3 linked regions of the Lonchura striata genome follow. The protein of the gene in region 3 interacts with the protein of the main gene of each other region in a biochemical or structural test. Links are inferred from orthologs where the notes say so. Each region holds a gene or a part of one and is shown on either strand. Other genes may lie near its edges.

Region 1 (7,532 bases), on a different chromosome or scaffold from region 3:
AATTTTCTGGAAACTGTCTTGTAGCTCATGGGAAGTTCCAAAACTAAAGGCTTAGTAATAATCTTCCCTGCTGTTTGAGGAGACGACAATGGTAAAAGTAATAGATAAACAGTTATTCAAACAATGTGGTGCTCAGGACCAGATGTTTTATTTTCATTCAGTTCTACACCTCTATGTCAGAAGAGACTAGACTGGAGTGCAAATGGCAGCAAAAGCAGATTTTCAGACTGCTATGTTAATACGTATGTCTCTGCATGTAGGTACAGCCCCCAGCACTCCTCCCCCTGCTTTTTGGATTTTGCACTTTACTCATGATACACAGTAACAGGTACCTGATTTCGGTGTTGCTGCTTTTGGTGGTTGCTTCTTTGGTGCTTCTTCATCTGAGCTGCTTGAGTCAGAACTGGAACTCTCTGCTTTCTTCTGAGGCTGGATTTTGGTCCCAGCTGGCTTCACCACAGGTTTTGCACCTTTCTAAACAACAGCAGGAAAAACTGATTAAGCCTCAAAGTCATGAAAAGTAAACAAGGCTAATAAGATGGACACATATACAGAGTGTAGAAACAGCTGTCTTTCACAGAAGTTACGATTTAGATTTGAAAACGCCAGTCTGCTTAGTGGTCAGGGTCTGAAAATCCTGGGAAAAGTTTTGCTCTAGAAAACCTCCCAGAAATGCACATCAGTCTTCAGTTTTGCCTCCTGAAAATGGGGCAGTTCTGAGGCTGGCACTGTCCTCTTCTCTTATCTACAGATCCCACTAGCTTGAAGACTGAAAATAATGACTGGGCAACTCTAGTTGGTCTCCTCTAGTGTACAATGTTATCACTCTTCCTCCCCTGACATCATTGTTCCTTGCCTCCACTTCAAGACCATGACTGCAGCAAGAAAAAGCAAAGAGAAGATTCTTTTTTTTATGCAAACACATACACACACCCATATACATAAAGATCAAACTCATAGTACTGAATCTTTCTTTACAAAGGAATTAAGCCCTGGCAGTCTTAGGATAAGAGCAAGGACCAGACTTGGATATGAAACAAAGAGGGTGGGTGCAGGACAAAAAATTAACTTTTCCTGGGACCAATCCAAACTGCACTACAGAAATGTCTTTTTGCATGGTTATCTACAGCAGCATGGGCACTTCATAGTCCAGGGATAGTAAGCCCAATATCCCACACAATTCTGTTGGTTAAATTTGCTAGTATTCATCACTGTCAAACACACATTAAAGATGCTGGAAAGAAAAGCCAACCTTTGCTGGCTTCTTTTCCTCCTCCGAGTCTGAATCATCGCTGGAGTCCTCACTGCTGCTCTCTGCCATCTTGGCTGCAGGAACTGCTTTTGCTTTGGGCACAGCTGATGCTTTAGCTGCAAAAAAGGGACAGTATACATTGATGGCAAGTTAATTCACAACTTTCTAGTACTTACATCCTGCACTAGTGGGTGTTAGGGCAAAAGGATACATTAAGGTAATTAAACCATGACTGAAGTTTGTAAAACTGACTTTGTTTCTTGAGCAGTGTATGGCAGACTGCTCTAAAATGGGTAAGCAAAAAGATAAAACCATTCCAGGCTTTATCTTTGTCACACACAAATTTAAGTGCAGATTTCTATCACCAAAGAGGACATCCCAAAAAGAAAGAGCACCCCTCAAACTGAGATAATATTAGCTGGGTCTGCACACCTTCCAGCTTAAAGAAACCTGCTGAACCAGTACTGACTGGTGCTTGCAAAGAGAAACACTGCAATGTCGTGTTAAGGTTCCAGACACCCAAATGTGTTTTGGCCAAATCCACTTCCTGGTTACTGACTGCTTTTCAATAATGTGGAGCAAAACAAAGAGTTTTGTCTTATATTATATTTACAAATGTCCTTATCAAATAAAAATAAGATCTAAATTCAAATTCAGCTTTAGGATGGCCCAAGTTGACGACAAATTTTTCTGTGTTTCTCCCTTTCCTCATTTATTCTTTCCCTCCTGTAAACCTACTGCTAGACACACACAATCTTGTGTACAGTGATTAATGAAAGATACAAGAACAGTTTCAGATAAAACAGAAAAATCTAGCTCACCATATAGCAAAGTGCAGCACAGGGATATATTTTTTGGTAGCACTAGTACATGAGCTCTAAAGAAAAAAGGGCAGCAACCTCACGCAAGCAGCAGGTGAGTATGGATACCTAGGATTTCTCTGGAATGGCTAAAACCTTCCATGGGACACAAACTGCTGTGCCTAAATTTTAACAAGATACAGAGATCAGCCTTAACTAAAATGAACCTATCTTCCATGTCATGGGTAAAAGACCTGCCAAAACCGAAATCAGTTAATACAAACCTAATCCCTGACAGCTGCTGAAAGACCTTAAAAGAGCAACTGAAGTTGAGCTCTAAACGCACGTGAGAAGCCAATGGCAAACATAATCCGGGTGTGCACCAGGGCGGCGCACAAACCTACCACGTTTCTTGGCCGGGGGCTTCTCATCCTCTTCGCTGGAGCTGTCACTGCTGCTGGCGGACGGCTTCCTCTTCGCCTGGGCGCCGTTCGGGACCAGCTTTCCCTTCTTGGCCGCCGGAGACCTGCGGGCAGAAGGGCTGAGCGGGGTCCCGCGGGGCGCGGGCCGGGCGGAGGGACACCGCACCCCGCGGGGACTTACCGCAGCCAGTAGGTGAAGATGTCCAGGAGGGAGGCCGCGTTGGGGTCCTGCTCCTTCTAAAGCGAGAGAGGCCACACTCAGTCAGTCAGTCAGTCAGTCAGTCGGTCGGTCGGTGGGTCGGTCCCCCCGCCCACCCGTCCGTCCCGTCCCGTCCCGTCCCGTCCCGCTCCGCTCCGCTCCGCTCCCCGCTCACCGCCGCCGCCTCCCTGGCGAGGGCGCGCGCGGCGCCCTGGCAGCCGCTCTCGCGCAGGAACGCGAGCACGAGGGGGAACAGGTCGCTGGGCACCGCGCGCCGCTCCGCCATCATGCCGCGCCGACACGTGCCGCGCGCGCACGCGCCCGCGCTTGCGAGCGTGCGTGCGTGCGTGCGTGCGTACGCGCGCCTACGTGACCCCGCCCCTACCGCTGCCGAGCTGCCCGCGCGGCGCCGCTCCGGGGCGCTGCCCGGCGTGAGGCGGCGGGCACGCTCCGTGCTGCTGCTGCTGCCGCCTGTGGGGCAGCGGCGGGACAGGGGCTGGGAGCCCGGGAGTGCCCACTCCGCTCTGGATTCGACTCTTAGACTTAAGTCCGCTTAAGACTCACCAGCTTACTCGTACTTGTAATCTGTTGTAAATGGCTGAAAGGAGACCGCTGGGGGAATGCTGGAGAGCAGGAGCTGGGCTGCTCTGGGGCGGAGAGCAGGCTGGGAGCTGCGGGCAGGCTCGGTGCCGGCAGAGCCCTCAGCAGCGCGGCGCAGCCCCGCAGGGCTGCGGGCGGAGCTCGGGGCCGCTGCCGGCACTCGCCGCTGCTCTCAGCCTGAACCCATACAGGAACGTACTGAATACTCCTGCAAAATCCCTACGGGAACAGAGAGAGCTGGTGAAAGTAACACCATAATCCTAAAGCGGCAGCCTGTGAGAGACAGAAAATGAATTTGAGACAAGGTTGTCTAGAATATAGGCTTGAGGGGCTTCAAGGTGGGAGATAAGGTATGAAATAGGTATAGCTCAAATAAGTGCTGAAGACCCGGACCTGACCTTAAATGGAGCTTCTGGACCTATGGAAAAGGGTGGATGTGGAAGCCCCAGATGGGGCTGAGCAGGACAAGCTTAGTGTGTTAGTGTGCTCACAACACTGATGAGGATGAGGATGAGATTTAATTCACCTGTTGTATATTTAAGTAGCTTTAGTTACTTTTACAGGAAAGTTTTTGTTGGTTTTTTTTTTTTTTTTTTTTCTGTAATACTGCAGATTTGCTCTGCTGGATGTAGCTCTCTATTCCTGCCTTTGTGATGAATGGCACTTTTCTTCTTTTCCTTCAATAGATGGTACTATAAAGCTTGCTGAGGGCCAAGGAAGAAGAGAGTCCTGTACTTAAAGTCTAGATTTAGGGCTGCCAGGCTCAAAAAAACAGTGGTAGGTAGGCAGTATTTTGCTTTTTATATTTCCCCTACCTAGCTCTCTGCACTTAACTATTTCCAAATACTGCTGTTCTGTGCTCTGTGGGTGTTCTGTGCCTTGGTGCCCAATGAATATGCACAACTGGACGGGCTCTGTTCTCAGCAAATTGTACCTGTTCCTGGTGTTTCTGGAAGGACCCATGTTTGCACTCATGGGGAAACAGAAGTCAGCTCTTGTGGTATTTTGTACTGTAAGATTCTGTAATTTTGTACAGATGCTGTAGCCTGTGTGGCAGAAAAGGGGTGTTGTGCGGAGGCTTGGTTAGATATGTTTACTTGTTTTTGAGATTCCCTGCCCCTTTTATGTGTGGAATAACACGAGGCTGTGTTGCAGAAAGGAAACTGTTTGCAGGAACTAATAGTTTTTGTAGTTTCCCCTCTACAGTGACCTACAGCTGCAAGCTTCATCTGCAAAGCTCAGCAAACTTTTGTGTTTTTGCCTGCGTTGGAAAGGAAAAGATGCAGCTTTTGCTGGTAAACTGTTGTTACTTTAAGCCCTGCTGTGTGAAGTAACTGTGTGAATTTCCCTGGCTGTGAGGAGCCGGGAAAATGACTGACTGTGTTTGCTTTACTGGCTCACTTTGCTTCTCCTCTGGTTAATAAGTATCTCCCTCTCCTGCCTGGCCTTTGCCAGCTAGGTCTGTTCCCTGTGCTGTGTAGCCGCTTCTCTTCAAAGGTGTGTGGCTCTCTGGGTGTGTTCGCCTATGCTGTGCCTGCAGCTGTCCAGATCACCTGGCAGGGAAAGCCATTTTGTCCTTGTATTCCCCAAGACAGTAAAATAATGTGGAACAGTCATAAAGTCATCCATTTGTTTAAATAGTTCTTAATATATACTTGCTGTTGCATAATAGTAAAATAATTTGCTTAAAGATTCTCGTTTCCAACTAGTTAACTTTTGTCTTTCATATAAATCCCAAGTTGGGATTCTTCTCCAGTGTCTGTGTGTTCTTTAGTGTATAATTTTGGGATGATTCAGAGGGGAAAGTTATGGTTTCTTCTTTGCAAACCTGGAATTACTCATAAAGCTTTATCATCAGGAAGTGCTTTTAGTCCTAGTGCTTTCCTATTGAGAGAACACCTGGGTTTTGGAAGACAGGTAGTGGCATGCAGTTTGTAAGCTTAAAATAGGTTTTCAGTAAAGAAAGATTTGGAGGTAACAAGAGAGTTTGACTAACTTCTGAGATAGAGTTTATTAGTGGAAAACAGTTGGTTCCTTTCTGCTTGTAATCACCTCTGTTCTAAAACTAGTGGTGACGTTAAGCTGTTTACAGAATGTCGAATGACTGCCTTGACTGGGAAGCCAGATTGTAAGGAGTCTGCTTTTGGTGTGAAGTGCATCAATGAAAGATCTCACTGGTTTTTCAAAGTGGTTTTTCAAAGTTTGCAAAGGAATAGGCTGAATAATTTAGGCAGAATCTGTTGCTTTGTCTCCAGTGACAAGATTAGTAAATTGAGTCCTACTCTCTGAACAATAACGTTGTCCTTCTGGTGCTTATTGTCTCTGTACTCAAACATGAGCACAGTCTTACAGAAACTGGTAAATTTCATTTGGAAGACAGCATCTTCTAGCTGAAAACACAGAACATCGAGCTACTTCATTCTTAGGGAGCAGCTTGGCTTCTCCCTAGGAGTTTTCCTTCCTCATAGAAGACATGACAAAACCTAAGTTAGGGATGAGTATAAAACAGGTATCGCTTATTCTTCTCCTCAACTGTTGTTCCCGGTTTCTTGAGACCACTGTATTACTGTAACACAACTTTCCTCGCTGTAGCGCTGTTTCCTCGGCCACCTACGGAAAGTGTGATAGGAGCCAGCTGGAACAGGCAGCTTCCCTCCTTGGGGCAGAGTCCCGCCGAGTACCGGAAAGGCGACGTGCGGCCGGGCAGGGGCAGCCCGTGCCGGGCTCTGCAGGGGGCGCCGCGGGCGGGAGGCGGGGCCGGGAGGAGCCCGGTGCCGTGCCCTGGGCTGTGCTGGGGGCGAGGGAGCGGCTCCGGGGGATGCACCGCCTTGCTGCGCCGCCGATGTGAGGGAAGGGGAGCGCCAGCCCCGGACCATGGCGGCCCCCGGTAGGTGCCGCGGCTGCCGTCCCGGGAGCCGCGGGGAAGCGGCGGGGCTTCTCCGCGCGGTTGTGCTGCGGCGGGCCGCGGCTGCCCGGAGCTGCCCCGCGGCACGGTGCCGGCAAGCGGAGCGTAGCGGAGCCCTGCCCGCTGCCCGCGCGGGGCGGTGCCGCTGCGCGGCTCTGCGCGCCCCTGGCGCTCCGCTGCCGGAGAAAGGGAAGGCGGTCCGCTCTCCGGGTTCAGGGAGCCCCGGCGCTCCTTCGCTCGTAGCGCTTTCTAGCTCGCCTTGCTTCGCTTGTCTGCAGTTCAGGGCAGCTGCTGGCAGAGCTTTCCTGCGTCTTAAGTGAACTTCGGCTTGGCAGATCAGCGACTTCTGAGGGAGGGTTTCTGTAGAGTATTTTGCTCGTGTCCGCCTGTACGACTTGTGTGCTTTTCTGTGATGTTTTATAGAGAAGTCAGTTTTTCCTAAATATGGCTTTATTCTTCAGCACCACTTCCTTTTGGGGGTATACTTGGTGCCTCTTGCCACAATGGCACAGGATCACAAGCTAAGCTAGTTTGCCGTAATTGAAAGTGTTTTAGCTGACGTGTGTGCAGGTAAGGCTACCTAGACTAAGAGTTGCAGACTCAAGGGGAGAGGAGTTTAGCCTGTATTGTGTAAATCTTGCTAATGCCCAATTTGCAAGTTCCTCTCTTTGCAGGGAAGCGTATGGGTTTTATCTAAAAAAGGAAAAAAAACGTGCCATTCTCAGGGTGTGAAGTAACATTTGTGTTTCATTGACGCGTATCTCCTTGTGAGGTAAAAATAAGTTAAACGGAGGTCTCGGGAGACTTGTGGGCAAAACTACTTTTCTCCTTATAAACAGAAGGTGATTTCACAGAGACCCTTAAAAAAAGAACAACTTTAGATTAATGTATCATAATGCAAATCTCTCGTTCCTCTCTGTGAAGTTAAGTTTGCAGAAATGTTGTCTGCTTTGGTTCTGCTGTTTCCTCTTACTTGTTTGCAGCATTTTATTTAAAGTGAAGATTTTATATTCCAGTTGAGGTAAGAAGTCTCATGTGATCACTATTACTGTGCATTTCATGTATGCAGAGTATGCATTTATTTCATCATACATCACTTAAATACACACACTTCACATACTGAAATGTGGAATGTGCTGAGGACTTATTTTAATGGCCCACCAGCAGTTTCTATGACTTGCTGGAAGTGCTCTCTCTTATAAGAATTTGATTATTAAGATGCTTTGAGTTGCATTTCCTTTATGCCATAAACAATTATCTTTAATGGAGAGTCAATTCCCATCTGTCAAGGATTGTTATTTTGAACAGCATTATTTCTGTATCCTCCATACACATGAATCACAAAACACACTGG
Region 2 (7,301 bases), on a different chromosome or scaffold from region 3:
TTTAGTAGAGAAATAAAAACATACACAGTCAGGTTGGTGCTCAATGCAAGGCATCCTACAGAAAAAACTCCTTCTCCAGGGGCAGCTACAGTCTCAGAGTAAGTATAGCCTCAGGGTTAGATCAAATATTCCCAAAATACCAGGTCCTGGTATTCCACAGGGCCAGGAGAAGCCAATCTAAAGGGTACAAAAGCCATTTGAACTTGGGCTCCAAGTCAAAAGGAAAGTCAGGTTGCAGAGAGCTTTAAGAAAGGAAGTGGCTGGACCTACAGAAAATGTGTTAGAAAAAGAGGAGGAAGAGGCCACATAAGTATTAAACACTTAAGCTGCTCAATTGGGTTAAAACATTAAGCTGGAGAAAGATTTCTCCAGGCACTAAATCATACCTGTACCAGAACAGATGATAAAGTTACCCATGTTTTCATTTGAGAATTAAAGACAACACATTTGCTTTATTACAAGGGTAACACTGGGAACACACTGGTGTGACTCACACGAGCAATGCTTGTAAGCCTTGGGACACACAGTTATCAGAAGTAAACAGTCTCATTTCTGGGCCAGTTTAGCTCATTTTATTTGTTCATCCATTTTAAAAACAAGATTTGTTTAGCAATTTGATGAGTAAAGATTGTGCTTGGTGTCAGAGTGTTCTGCCAGCACAGCTGTAACAGCAAGTTTTGTGCAAGCAGGAAAAGACAAAGGCACGTTTGCTCTTAGAAAGTCCTGTAACTACTCCAATAATCCTTTTAACAAAGTAACAGGGCAGCCCCCACAGGCAGCTCTGATCCTGCAACACCATCCTGATCCAGTGGCAGCTGACAGCACAGCACGCACTGATGTGATAATTTGGTGTGAGTGACCAGGAGCTCAAGAATACCCTGTGAGGGGAAGAAATGGTGTCTGCTAGCTCTGTCCCTGTGGCATTCTGGAACATCTGAGGCCTGTAGGGCTCAGGCTGCTCCTAGGACTGAGCTGGTCCAGCTTTCTCCAGCTCCCAGGGACCCTTCCACTCCCTCTCTGCATCCTCCAAGTGTAAATGCAGCTCAGGAGGGAAGCCACTTATGGAACTGCAAGACTCAGCTTTAGGCTCAGTCTGGAAGAGTTACTGGAGAACACCTACAGGGGTGGCATTGGTGAGAAGGACAAGAACCACAGGGTAGATTAAGGAAGGACATTTTTGGGCCAAAATCCTATGAGCAATAGAATGTGATAAAGCCAGCGCACTCACAGGAGCACTCCAGGATAAAGATACTGCCCAACATATCCCTCATTCTGACTCCCAAGCAGGTAGAACTCAGGAATAACAGATGTGGGGCAGGACCAGAACAGAAGGGTGATGCTGAAGAAAGAAGAATTAAACCTGATGCAAATGCCCTGTTGCCCTTCAAGTTTAAAAGCAACAGTGTCTGGGAGGGTTTGCTGCAGCAGGCAGGATAACCAGCACGTGGGAAGGTCACCATCAGCACCCATGAGAGCAACAAACTGTGAGAGGGAGGAACTGCAAACCTAATTCTATGCTTCTAGATCCAGCCTTTCTCCTGCTCAGGTATGGAGGACAAGAGCAAGGCACGAGGCATTGAGCAGAAACACCTCTGAAGAAACACTTCCCAAGGCTGCTGCTCCTAATGCTGAGGAGATCCTCACTCCAGAGCTCCAACTCCACAGATTCCCAGATAAGCCAGCACTGAGGCTGCCACAGGCCTTGGCAGTGCTCACTCCAACATCCAACCAAAGCACAGGGTGGGTGCAAATATCACAGATGGGAAAGCTCTCTCCTGCAGACCTTCAAATGGGGGATAACAATACAGGAAGGCATTTGGAACATGTAAAGACTTGAAAGGACAGGCTGAAACCAGGAGATTTCCTCTGAGTCAGATCATCTGTGACCTATGCCAAGGTTTAAGTCCATGTAAGAGCTCTGGCATTTCCAGCACCTGCTCAACTTCTCTGTTCTCGGGTCAATAATCCTGCAAAGCACGTGGCTTTAAAAAGAAAGTGAAACAGAACAGGGAAGGATATTTCTTACAGTAAAGCATGACTGAGCTATGCAACACTCCAGCATCAGCCAACACAAACAGCTCAGCTGCTCAAAACTAAAGTAACAACTTATCTCCAAGCTCAGGAAGTTTTAAAGCAGCACAGCCCCGGACATCTGAAAGGAACTGCTGTGAAATCAGAGGTTAGGAGAAAATTCTATTGAGCACAGCTATCATTGGAAGTCCTCTGACTACATGTAATTCCAACAAATAAAAATCACACATGCCATGCAGCCTAGACGTCAGCACAGTCTGGAATCTATCCGAAACTCATTCCCTCCTGTGACTTACTTTTCCCAGTGGGTAAAGATGTCCTCGAGAGAGGTCGAGAAGGAAGGGAGTAATTTCTGTGAAAGCAGAGTGAACACCAGTCAAACACCGGCCCAAATGTGACCCAATTTCAGATGTGCCCACCAGACAGAAGCAGCAACCACGGGGGCCCATCCAAACCTCCCCAGGAAAACAGGACCGTCTCTCCCTGCACACACCTCCCGGCGAATCCCTCCCACTCCCCGCCCCGCTGCACCCAGGGCCGCGTGTTTCCCTGGAGACTTCTCCCGGAGCAGCACGCGTTCGGGGAGCACCAGCCCCGCGGTACGGGAGGCTCTACCGGCCGGCTCGGGGCTGGGACGGCCCGCGGGCACCGGGAGCATCCCGGGTGCCGGACACCACGTGGGTCCGGCGTGGAGCCACGGCCCGCGGTGCTCCCGGCACCCGCGTGGCGCTCCGGTGGTCGGTGAGGGCGCGGAAAGGGACCGGGCCCTGCGGCCCCGCCGAGGCCCGCGCTCCGGGACCGCGCCCCCGCTGCCTGCCCCGCGTCCCGGCCCGCCGCCCGTCACCTGTCCGCTCTGCGCCTGCAGCTCGCGGGCGGCCCGCGCGAAGCCGCCGCGGAGCAGGTGCTCGTGGATGAGGGCGAGCAGCTCCCGCCCGCCACCGCCGCCGTCGGCGGCCATGGCGCGGCCCGCGTGCCGCGCCGGAGGGACGCGGCTTCCGCTTCCGCCGCGCGGCCCCATGGGAGATGTAGTGCCGGGAGTGTCCGTGGGGCGGCACGGGGCGGGGGGACCCGGCAGGGAGGGGTTTGTCACCTCATGGGGGTCCCTCACACCGCCCCCGCGGGAAACGGGACAGAGAATAGGAAACCACCCCTTGGGGGCTCTCATGCCGCCCCAGTCGGAGATGGGGAGAACGGAAGGGCGGGGTGGGGGGTTCACGCCATGGGGTTCTGTCACAGGACAGGGGGGTCACACCATGGGGCTCTGTCACAGGGCGGGGGGGTCACACCATGGGGCTCTCTCACAGGGTGGGGGGTTCATGCCATGGGGCTCTGTCATAGGACAGGGGGAGGTTCATGCCATGGGGGGGTTCATGCCATGGGGCTCTGTCACAGGACAGGGGGGTCACACCATGGGGGTCTCTCACAGGACAGGGGGTTCATGCCATGGGGCTCTGTCATAGGACAGGGGGAGGTTCATGCCATGGGGGGGTTCATGCCATGGGGCTCTGTCACAGGACAGGGGGGTCACACCATGGGGGTCTCTCACAGGACAGGAGGTTCACGCCATGGGGGTCTCTCACAGGACAGGGGGTTCATGCCATGAGGCTCTGTCACAGGACAGGGGGGGTCACGCCATGGGGGTCTCTCACAGGGCACGGGGGTCACGCCATGGGGCTCTGTCACAGGACAGGGGGGTCACGCCATGGGGCTCTGTCACAGGACACGGGGGTTCACGCCATGAGGCTCTGTCACAGGACACGGGGGTCACGCCATGAGGCTCTCTCACAGAACGGAGTCACGCCATGGGGGTCTCTCACAGAATGGAGTCACGCCATGGGGGTCTCTCACAGGACAGGGGGGTCACACCATGAGGCTCTGTCACAGAACAGGGGGGTCACGCCATGGGGCTCTGTCACAGAACGGGGTCACGCCATGGGGGTCTCTCACACCCCTCAGCTGGGGACGGGGGACACAAAGAGCGGGTCCCGTCACGGCGGTCCCGAGCAGGGAGGGGGCGGCCAGCCCACGGCGGCTCCCTCCCGCCCGCAGGGGAAGCGGGGCTCACCGCACGGCCCAGCCGGGCCCTCACAGCCCCGGGCAGGAGATGGGGCGAGCAGAGAGCGGCAGGGCCGAGGACGAGCCGGCACCAGCGCGTGAGGCACAGCCCTGTGTAATTCTGTGTAATTCAGAGCGGTTTTCCATCAGATTCATCCAAAGTGCTCTGAAGGCGAATCCTCAGAGCTGATTTAGTGCTGGGTGGACTCTGAGCTGCTCGGAAGAGCCACACTGGCGTTTTTGGGGCTTAAATAAGCAAAGGGGCAGAGGGAAGAAGCTGCTCCTGATGCAGAGCAGCTGTTGGAGAGGGGCCTGTGAGGGGACTGCCCCACTAGCACCCCTCACCCCGTGCTGATACTTTCCAGGAAAAAATCTGGCTCCCATCACTTTGGCAGGGGTTTATTTTTGGAAGGCTTAATAATGTCCGTGGTGCGCCTGTCGCTCATTCAAAATACAGACCCTGTATTTGTATTCTTAGGCAGGATTAAATCTAAAACTGGCCTGGCTCCAGCTGGCTCTTGCACCGAACGCCTTTGACACCAGCATGGTCCAAGGCTGTAAAGGCACGGTCCAGGTGGCAGTTTTACAGCTCCTGTAAATGAATCGCAGACCTGGACAGCCCTTTCTGGGACTGACCTCCTCCTGCTCAAGTGGGCACTGCAGCCTGGCGTAAACGTGGCCTCAGCACACTCTGTGAGGGGGTGGCTGGACCACAAGCTGTCCCAGCGCTGCTCTGAGGTGACATGAGGCACAAAGTCTCAGCTGGTGGCCTGGTTTGCAGCCCTGGTTTTCCTGTCTGGAGAGGAAAAGCCAGATGAAACAGCCCAGGGCAGAGAGGAGAGAGAAGGGTGTCTCCTGGGGAGGCTGTGGATGGGGCTGAGCAGACAGAGGCAGCCTGAGGATGCTGTTCATGGCCCCTGGAAATGAGGTTGGATGCAGATTGAGCCCCTGGAGCCCAAAAAGAGCTCTGCTGCAAGGATATGGATGAACAGCTTCAGACCTGCTTTGTGATTGTCTTGGAATGGCTTTATACCTTTAGGAATTGCTCAGTTTGCTTTGTTTAGTTAAAGAAAAAAAAGCCAAATCTGAGCACTAACCCAGCAGGCTGGTGATTAGAGGAGCTGGTGCCCCGGGTTCAGGGTCTCTTCCAGGCAGCAACGCTCTCCAAACATCTTGAAACAAATGTCAAACTATTAAAGGAGGCTTGTGTGGTGCAGGGAATTGCAAAAGCACTGTTTGGAGAGGTCTTGGGGGAGGGTGGCAGGTGACCAGATTAGCAAATCATTGAGATTCCAGCAGAGAGACAAAGGAGGGGAGCACATCCTGCTAACCTGCAGGGGGTGGACAATGCAAGGAGACACTCAGGTCAGGTAGGGCAGGAGAGAGGAGCACAGCCCTGCAGGGCGGGGCTGGAGGTGTTCTGCCAGCCCCGCTTCTCCAGAGCCCTCTGATCTCCGTGCCAAGGGGACGATTCTTTACAGGGTGCCCGGGGAAAGCATCGCAGCATTTGGGTGCCAGGAATGCAGCAAGCCCCTGCTCTGCTGCATTTTCAGGCCTCTCCTCTTTGCCTGTGGTTCAGGGCACACATGCACTAGAAAGCATGACTTTGACCAACTTCAATAAAACATGGAAAGGAGGAAGATAGATGGGCACAGATGGGAGGAAACGCTTTCATGAGAGACTGCTTGAGAAAGGAAAATAAAGGATGTTAAAGCTCTGAGCACCCATGTACAAATAGCTTGAAAAATTGACTCCATTTTCCCCCTGCCTCCACCAAGTATCTCCTCACCGGTCTGCCATAGTTCAGGGTCACCTGAGTCCAAAGCTTCATACCCTCAAACCACGAATACACTCCACAAACCACAGCGCAGGGCCTGGGAATAACACAACCCACTTGAATGAAGAAATCTGAAAAAAAATAATATGTATGCTGCACCACAATTACAGGTAGAGAAGGTATTTGAGGTGGTTAGTAAACATGTCAAAAAATAAATACAGCTATTCAGTCAGCAAACAGATGCATGATTATAACCAGGAAAATCTACCCCAGCCCAAAACCAGCTGAGATCCAACAACATGTGCTTATTAAGGAGTGGTATTTTTTTGTGTGTGCACATTTTTTGGAAGGAGTTTGAAAATATTTTGCCCACTCTTTATTTTAGGAAGGTGAAATGTCCCTGGTGGATTTCAAAATCCAGCCTCTCAGGTATGTGTTCTCCATGCCAAGACACTGAGTCACGAAGGGATTGGAGGAAGCTGTTGGAAGTCCAGACAGGGGATAAAACAGCTGTAATTGAGGAGCCAGCTCAGCTCCGTCTGCTAATAACCACACAGCCCTTCCCTGCCCTCAGCCTACAAGCTGAGGTCTTTGCTTGCTGCCACTTTCACAGGCTCCCTGGTTATTGCTTGGGGTCAGACTTGTCCACACCTATTCCGTTCTGAATGACTGCTTGTGTCCCAGCCAAGCCTGGGGTCAGGAGTGTGCCTGCAGGCTGGGGAGCTCTGTCCTTCCTGTGTTTTTCCCAGCAGGAGCTGACAGCCCCCAGGCATGTCTGCAGGACCCTTGGGTTTGCAGGGACACACAATGCTGCTCTCCACCTTCAGGTCTTTGTCCACCCTGGCATGTCATGTGTGGTAGCAGTGCCATGTCTCCTGTCACCTTCTGTTTGGTGCCTTTTGTTTGGTGCATATGGGGTTGGTGATGCCGGATGGGACTTGCAGAATGAAGGGACTGTGATCCAGAGGGATCATAGGGCAGGGTGGCACACAGCACGTGTGGCATCTATATGTAGGAAGGTCTCAGGCTCTTTTCCCTTTGCTTCTGGCTGGTGTTTACACCACAGTGGTGGAGCAGGGACAAGAGGAAAGATGCTCTGTTTGCTCCTCAGCTGCAGCAGCTCCTCACTTGACATGTTTCATGGCTGCTGGTCCCATCCAGAATATTAGTTGCAGGCACAATGCTCCTTCTGCCTTGGCTCCAGAGCAGGGTGGGATGGGTGGCCAGGGACAGGACCCTTGAGACCCCCAACAAGTAACTCTGATGTGTTTCATGGGTCAGAACATTGGCTGAAAATGCAAGTCATGTTTAGAAGGATAATCTTCATGGCCCAGTTCAGAAGCTGAGCTGAACTTCCCTGCTACTGAGTGCCCTGTCAAAGAGCTGCAAGCCCTCTGCCTCCTGGAAAGAGCCCAGGGGGCACCACCTGGGCAGAGCA
Region 3 (7,558 bases):
GGGGGACCAAACTCACTGAATCTCTTTTTCGTGTTCCCTGTGTTGCACAGAGCGGTGAGATCCAGCTGAGTACTGAGTTCTTGTCTTGGTGCAGGTACCCCAGCCTTCTCTGTGAGGCTACTCCTGCCAAACTTTATTTTGACAGTGGCAGAATGGCTGTTTTGCTCTGCACTGACTGCTCCAGGATACATCACTGTCACTTCACCTAAATGGCACCAGTCACCCTGGTTTGTAGCAGCTGCTGGGACTTGCTGACCGCAGCAGAGCCTGTCATTGTGAGATTAAGGAGGGATTAGCTCTGCAATTCCAGTCAGCCTTCAGAGAAAGGTTAAAGACTTTGGGAGGAGGAAGTACGTGTGCGTGCGTGCACATGTGTCTTCCAAAACAACAGATGGTTTCAATAAAGTCGCTCCTGCTGCTAGGAAGTGGCACTTCTTGACATTAGCAGAGCCATATCTCATCAGGATTCTTGTTTCTACCAGCCTGGCTCAGCATGGCCAAAGCCAGTGTCTGGCATGGGGTAATCAGGGCAGCACTCCGGTATCTGCCCCATTAATTGCCCCCTGCCAGCCTGCCTCTCTCCTGATGGAACACCCACTGTGCTCAGTGTGGCGGGATCGATCGCCTTTGAAGGACAACTTTCCCTCATGATCTGCAATTCCCCCTACTTAAACTGCAGCCAGAACTGCCTTTTTACGGATTCTGCAAGAAATGTGTGATTTCTTGGAACCGCTAAACAAAAACCTCTCTGCTCCAATCAATGGATCGATGTATTAAATTATTGTGCAGCTAAATTAATGTGCCCCTCGGTGGCAGAATTGCAGAAAATGAGCAGTGTTTTATGCATTAAAGACAACCTAGTAAAAGATTGTTTTTCAAGGTTAGATTGTTCCACAGTGAATATCAAGATTTTTCCAATTAAAATATGAGGGGTTTTCGGAGCTGCATCAGCTCTATTGCTTCTCACAGTGTCACAGTGCAAATTAACAGGCACAAATAACTGAAAAACTGGAAATAGTAATTGAGACATATTTGGGAGTTAGCAAGTAATACTTTTTTTTACTAGTGTTTATTTAAATTGTATAGGTAAACAATTTTGCTGGAAATCACTGTGGAGTTATTTTGGTGGGATTTTTGTTTGCATGTTTAAACTCAAGAGTCATGAAAAATGCCACCATTCATAATGTTGTCAAGAAAAACAAAAGAGCTTCTGCAGCCCTTGGTTTTCTCTTTTCAGGGAAATGTGGGGATAGGCTGTGCCTTCCTTTCACAATGCTCTCTTTTCAGTGAAAAAAACAGTAAAAAGGGGAAAGAAAAAAAGGAAAACAGGATACAGGGACCTCTTCCTACAACTTTAAAGTAAACATGATATCCAAAACAAAAATGGCAATATTCACATGGATTAAAATTTGTTCCCTTTGAAAGCTTCAACCCTGGTTCACATTTTCTCTGAATTTTGGTCCAGTTGCCTTTCTTTGTTTTGCTGACAGGAGAAAACATGGGAAGTTTCCTACACACCAAATACTGTGTAGCAAGAGCTGCCTGCTCCAAAAGTTCTCTGCAGCCTCTCTTGTGCAGCAGGAGCACTGGGGCAGGTTACTCCCAGGTGACCCACACCAACCACTTCACAGATATGATGTTCTCTCTGCCCCTATGCTGAAGGCAACCAGATGAACCAGTTTTCTAATTAACTTGTTCAGCAGGTGCAATGACAAAGGAAAACCTTTTCAATAACTTCATTGTTTACCCGAACTCTTTTTATGGATATCTTCTAAATTCTCAAATATCTGAAAAAGTTTGTATTTTGTCCACTTTCTCCTGAAACCTTTTCTTTTCCTCTTTTCTCTCTTGAGCTCATGACAAAGACATTTTTATTCTGAAGGCAAGAATCCCAGAACACACAGTGCCAATTCTGAGTTTATAAGCAGTACAGTCTCTCTAATCACTTATAAAAGACAGACATAGACTGTTTGTTCCTTATCAATTGACATAATTTCTTTTTTATTTTGAGCCTTTGGAATATCAAATGGGAAAATTTCGCCACCAAGTGTATGTTTTCAAGCTCTATCTCCAGGAATGATACATTAGATGTGAAATTAAAGCACAAGTGAAAGCATTCTGATCCATCAGTAACAAAAACTTTAAATCCTTGCAAAATCCTAAAATAGGTTTCAGTGCATTACTGACAGACTGAAAAAAAAAAGGTATTGAAAATTATTAAAATACATACCAAAACCTATTATAAAATAAAAGAATTTATATACTATGTCTATTCACAGGTCCCCATTGTCTCCTGGAAAGCAAGAATTCATGAAATTAAATTATTTGGTCAACAGCATGAAGAAATTTGTGGCAGCATTAAGCTAAGAGCCCAATTTTTCACTTCTACACTTAAATATGGGCATGTATCACTCCACAGACAAAACAACAGGAGAAAGAAAATGATGCAGCAGAAGGGAGATGGAATTCTTCAAGCATCTTGTAATTTCTGAAAGAACAGGCTGAAATATTTGTGTGCAATGCAAATGCCATTTATATGAAGCTTTAACATGGCGTGTGACTGTCAAGGATTTCAGAGCAGCTTGCACAGGCAGCACATCTCATTCTGCCCTTCAGAGTTCCAGGGAATACTGTGCAGAACTGGGTGAAAAACCCAGATCCCCAGACTTCCATGGCAGTGCTCCACGGAGCAACATCCTAGGAGTGCTGATGGAGGTTTCCAGGGAGGGGAGAGGGTGATGGTGTTATTCCACTTGAGAAAGGCTCCAGCCTTAGCAAAGGTGCTGCTATGGATGCCTCTCAAAGCACATCTAAACCTGTTTGTATGGCAATTTGCTTGCTTCACCAAAAATCATACAAAGGTAAGCAATTTCAAGAAAGGCTCACGCTCCAAAGCGCCAGTTCAATGTGGGATTTGTATTAAAAAACATTCTACATTTGGCTTCTGCATTTTAACACTAATCCAGCCCGGCCCACGCGCCCACACCGGAGGAAATGAACTGTATCAGGCAATGTCATTTGCTAAAGGGTAAGAGCAGAGGAATTCTCCATCCCTTCGTTTCAGATTTCTAGGGACAATTTCACAGGCCGTGCCGTTGCTGGATGGGGAAATTGGAAAACTGCAGAATCCATTTGCGGACGTGAAGTTCTATTTTCTTTTACAGCGCCTTCATCAGAGTCTCCATCACTCCTGCGTTGTGCAGCATTATCATCGGAGCAGCCTGGACACCACTGATAATTGCTGAGTGAGGGGAAGGCTGTGCCTTGCAAGCCAAAGTAAAACCACCAGTGGGGCTGCACTGCCTTTAAATTCACTTTAAATTCACCTGCTTTGGAGAAGTGCTCATGTACTCAGGCTACTAATTCCTGAGAGTTAACTGAAATTAATTTAAAAATATTATTCAAATTGGTTTGTTTTGTTATTTTTTTTTCTCCCCAAACAAAACTTCCCAGCTAAAACCTGTGAGGCTGTATTAAATCTATTTAGCACAGAACCAGGAAAAATATACACAATTTTGCAATGCTTCCATTATTTAATTCTTCATTAATTGTGTTTCACAAAGAAAAAACTTCAAAACCTCTTCCACAACAAATGCCTGATAATGATACAGTTCCCAAGAATGAGACCAGTGGCTAATTGCTTTAGGAAACTGGAAAACCTGGTGGCTATCATCCACTTGTCCTCTGGGATGGAGAGAGAAATGTGATATTAAGGGTCAGGGGCAATGAAATGGTCACTTGTGTGCTGCATTCATTTCGCAGCTCTGTGGGACAGGTAGGGCTGATCTGGCTGTCCACAGCGTGCTGGGGTCACCAACCCTGGAAAAATTCAGAATATTCTTGGTGTAACAAGCTTTCAGACCAAGTAGCCGATTCTTAGTTCCTATCAAAGTTTAATTCAGCCTTGCACATCCAGTGGTCTCACATCCTGCCCCTCACCACACCCCTGGAGCATTAGGACGCTGGCAGGCATTCCTGCGCCCCAAGGTCAAATATTTGTGCGCAATGCAAATGCCATTTATATGAAGCTTTAACATGGTGTGTGACTGTCATGGATTTCAGAGCAGCTTGCACATCTCCTTCTGCCGTTCAGAGTTCCAGGGAATACTGCGCAGAACTGGGTGAAAAACCCACGGCGGCGGCAGCTCCGGGCGCCACCCGCTCCCCTCGGCGTTCGCCCCAGGAGCCGCAGCTCAGCGTGGGCAGGAGAAGTGCGGGGTTTGGGGGCGGAAGGGGCAATTTCCCCCTCAGGAGAGGCCAGTTCTGCCGGGTGTCGCTGCTGAGGGGAACACACCGCACCCCGCCGGGACAGGGCGCTGCCGCTGCCCCGGGGCCCAAAATGGCGGCCCGCCGAGGCGCCGCCGCCTCGTTGCTACGCAACCGGCTGGTCCCGCCTCCCCCCGGGAACTACAACTCCCAGCCATCCCGCTGCGGAGGGACTACAACTCCCGGCAGGCCCCGCGCGCCAAGGGCTGCCAGCCCGCACTACATGTCCCGGCAGGCAGCGGGGGCACTGGCCAATGGGCGCGGTTGATGCTGCGGGGTGCGCGGCCGGCGGTGAGCGGGGGAAGCGGCGCGGTGACATTTCCTGCCGGGCCGCCCCCGGAGCCGCTGCCCGAGCGGGGCCCAGGATGGCAGCGCTGGGAGGTCGGTGCGGGGCACGGGGGAGCGCCCGGTGCGACACGGGGGGTGCTGGTGCGGGGTACCGGGGCAGGGTGTTGAGGGGTGTCTGTGGGGGAGCGGCCGTGAGGGGGCTCGGGCCTGTGCTGTGTGAGGGGGCTCGGGGCTGTGAGGGGTCCCCGGCAGGGCAGCGGGGCTCGGCCGTGCGAGCTGATGGCGTGAGGGGACGGCTGCTGTGTGTGGGAGCGGGGCAGTGTCTGTGTGAGGCTGAAGGAGCTGTCCCGTGAGGGACCCCCCTGCTGGGTGAGGGGAGGGGGCTTGATGAAAGGCTTCTGTGAAAATGGGTGTGCTCTCTCGCTCCTCTTTGCCCCTTTGTGTTGCCTAAATTTTGTCGGAAGCACTCTGTTGCAGTCAGTAGCTTTACCTGATTTGCAGCTCTGGCCACCTAATGTTTTTCTTTTCAGCTCGCCTTTGTTGTTTTTGTTGCGTAAAAATTTTGGTGCTATTACGAAACAGATTTTGTGCTTGAGCTATTGCTCAATTTTCACTTTGGGATTTACTTCATTAGGCTTATCACATGTTATTTAGCAGCATATGCTCTACTAAATATGTTTCCACGGTCATATATGAGCTCCTTCACACGTGAGAAATTTCAAATTATAATTCTGTTTTATTTGTAGAGAAAAGATGTAACTGTATTTACAAATTTACGAGTTTTAAGTTAAGACTTATTGTAGGGCTGTTTCTTCATGAGCCTCTGCTCCAGCCATTACTTGTGTAAGGCAGGAGCCAGTTCCTGTTTCAATGTGAAGTTAAATATTTACATACAGGCTTGTGTAATGGTGGGGGTAGTTTGGGGACTTATTTTATTCCTCTGTGTCCCTTTCTATTTTAAATGTCAATATGTGTTGTGTTTCTTGACTTGATTTCCCCTTCCTCAGTTGTATGAAGTATTTGTATTGTTTTCCTTAATGGATATAAACTCTTCAGGGGGATAGAACAGAACTTTATAGTTGAATAGTAACTGACAAGTACATTGTGAAAAGGAAGAAAAAGTATTGAGATCTCTTTAGGTATTTACACACCCATGACAATGTTTGGCTTGCTGTTGAAGGATGATGATGCTGAGAAATTATGGAATATCAATTTGTGCTTTTTGGGTTTTGGCACATGCATGAATTTTTTTTGGAGGCTTTTTTCTTTTGTTACTGGTTGTTTTCTGTTAAAGTTTCAATTTTGCTTTGTAGAACCAAGTCAGTTTTCACAAACACTGAACGGAGTCCCTCCCTCAAACCAAGTCAGCAGTGGAATGGACCCCTTCCATGCTTGTAGTATTCTCCAACAGCTGAAGACCATGTATGATGAAGGACAGCTGACAGACATTGTGGTGGAAGTGGATCATGGGAAGACATTCTCCTGTCATAGGAATGTTCTTGCTGCAATCAGTCCTTATTTCAGGTAAAACCATCCATTGTTCTAGTGGGGATCAAAGCAGACAGAGTATTAGTGTAGGTATGATTTTTTTAGATTTTCATTTAATGAAAATAAGTTCTGTGTATTTCTAGATAATAAAGTGCACTAGCAAGTAAAGATTGTTGTTCTCTTAAGGTCAGTGGATTATCTGTGTCTGTTTCTTAAAGGAGAGTTTCATTGGAGACAATGTCACACAATTTTAAACCAAGCAAAACTGCCCCTGCTACTGAGGTTATCAGAGATACAGTAAGAACATATTGCAACTACTTGTTTTTTTCTCAAGTTACATATTTGAGCATGCATGTGAAATAACTTGCTGAAGGTTGAATGCAAAGACTTGGAAATGCCAAGATCTTTGCTTGTAAACTCAGTGAATTTTAACATGGGGTTAATGAGATAATTAAGAAGTTCCACTTTTGATTCAGTAAGAGTAGAAATGATCTTAAATTTAGGTACCCCAACAGGAGAGTTTAACACCTGTGCTAAATATGTTTGTGCTGACAGAGGGGCAAAGGCATTGGGACTAGATGTGTTTAATTTGTGCCAGTTTAATCGGTTTAATTTTGTGCCAGTAGCTAAAGGCAATAGCAGACAAACTGCTGGGTGTTCCTGCCTTGCAGATCGATGTTCACGAGCGGCCTTACCGAGAGCACGCAGAAGGAAGTTCGGATCGTTGGTGTCGAGGCAGAGTCGATGCATTTAGTGTTGAACTATGCATATACCTCCAGAGTAGTGCTGACAGAGGCCAACGTTCAAGCTTTGTTCACTGCAGCCAGTATCTTCCAGATCCCTTCCATACAAGACCAGTGTGCTAAATACATGATCAGTCATTTGGACCCACAGAACTCCATTGGGGTGTTCATCTTCGCTGATCACTATGGTCATCAGGAACTCAAAGACAGGTCGCAAGACTACATTCGCAAGAAGTTTCTGAGTGTCACCAAAGAGCAAGAGTTTCTTCAGTTGAGAAAAGACCAACTGATAAGTATCCTCAACAGCGATGATTTAAATGTAGATAAAGAAGAACATGTTTATGAGAGCATTATAAGGTGGTTTGAGCATGAACAAAATAAGAGAGAAGTGCACCTTCCAGAAATATTTGCCAAATGCATCCGTCTGCCTCTGTTGGACGAGACGTTTCTAGAGAAAATCCCTCCCGTGTTTGCACAGGCGATGGCCAAAAGCTGTGTACAGAAGGGACAACCCAGTGCCAATGGCTACACACAGCGGCTTGGAATGACCGCTTCCGAAATGATCATATGCTTCGATGCTGCCCACAAACACTCAGGAAAGAAGCAAACAGTGCCTTGTTTAGATTCGGTCACAGGGAGAGTGTTTAAACTATGCAAGCCACCAAATGACTTGAGGGAGGTGGGAATTCTGGTGTCTCCTGATAACGACATTTACATTGCGGGTGGTTACAGGCCGAGCAGCAGCGAGGTCTCCATCGACCACCGGGCCGAGA

Evidence for each region. The genes of interacting proteins can lie anywhere in the genome.
Region 1: the proteins of KBTBD8 (region 3) and NOLC1 form a complex in vitro, tested with the Homo sapiens proteins (2 studies listed by BioGRID). The link is inferred for Lonchura striata from reciprocal best matches to the Homo sapiens genes KBTBD8 and NOLC1.
Region 2: the proteins of KBTBD8 (region 3) and TCOF1 form a complex in vitro, tested with the Homo sapiens proteins (2 studies listed by BioGRID, with this or other methods). The link is inferred for Lonchura striata from reciprocal best matches to the Homo sapiens genes KBTBD8 and TCOF1.

Annotation. Positions count from the first base shown.
Region 1 is NC_134609.1:13,347,089-13,354,620, reverse strand, and holds the start of NOLC1 (nucleolar and coiled-body phosphoprotein 1), read right to left. Parts: upstream 3,004-7,532; 5' UTR 2,963-3,003; coding exon 2,849-2,962; intron 2,712-2,848; coding exon 2,656-2,711; intron 2,579-2,655; coding exon 2,457-2,578; intron 1,369-2,456; coding exon 1,253-1,368; intron 475-1,252; coding exon 333-474; intron 1-332. Other genes in the region: PIK3AP1 (phosphoinositide 3-kinase adapter protein 1), read left to right, coding at 6,148-6,160. UniProt on the Homo sapiens protein: Nucleolar protein that acts as a regulator of RNA polymerase I by connecting RNA polymerase I with enzymes responsible for ribosomal processing and modification.
Region 2 is NC_134617.1:6,328,600-6,335,900, forward strand, and holds the start of TCOF1 (treacle protein), read right to left. Parts: upstream 3,004-7,301; 5' UTR 2,990-3,003; coding exon 2,876-2,989; intron 2,384-2,875; coding exon 2,328-2,383; intron 1-2,327.
Region 3 is NC_134614.1:18,915,498-18,923,055, forward strand, and holds the start of KBTBD8 (kelch repeat and BTB domain-containing protein 8), read left to right. Parts: upstream 1-4,537; 5' UTR 4,538-4,631; coding exon 4,632-4,647; intron 4,648-5,867; coding exon 5,868-6,078; intron 6,079-6,713; coding exon 6,714-7,558. UniProt on the Homo sapiens protein: Substrate-specific adapter of a BCR (BTB-CUL3-RBX1) E3 ubiquitin ligase complex that acts as a regulator of neural crest specification.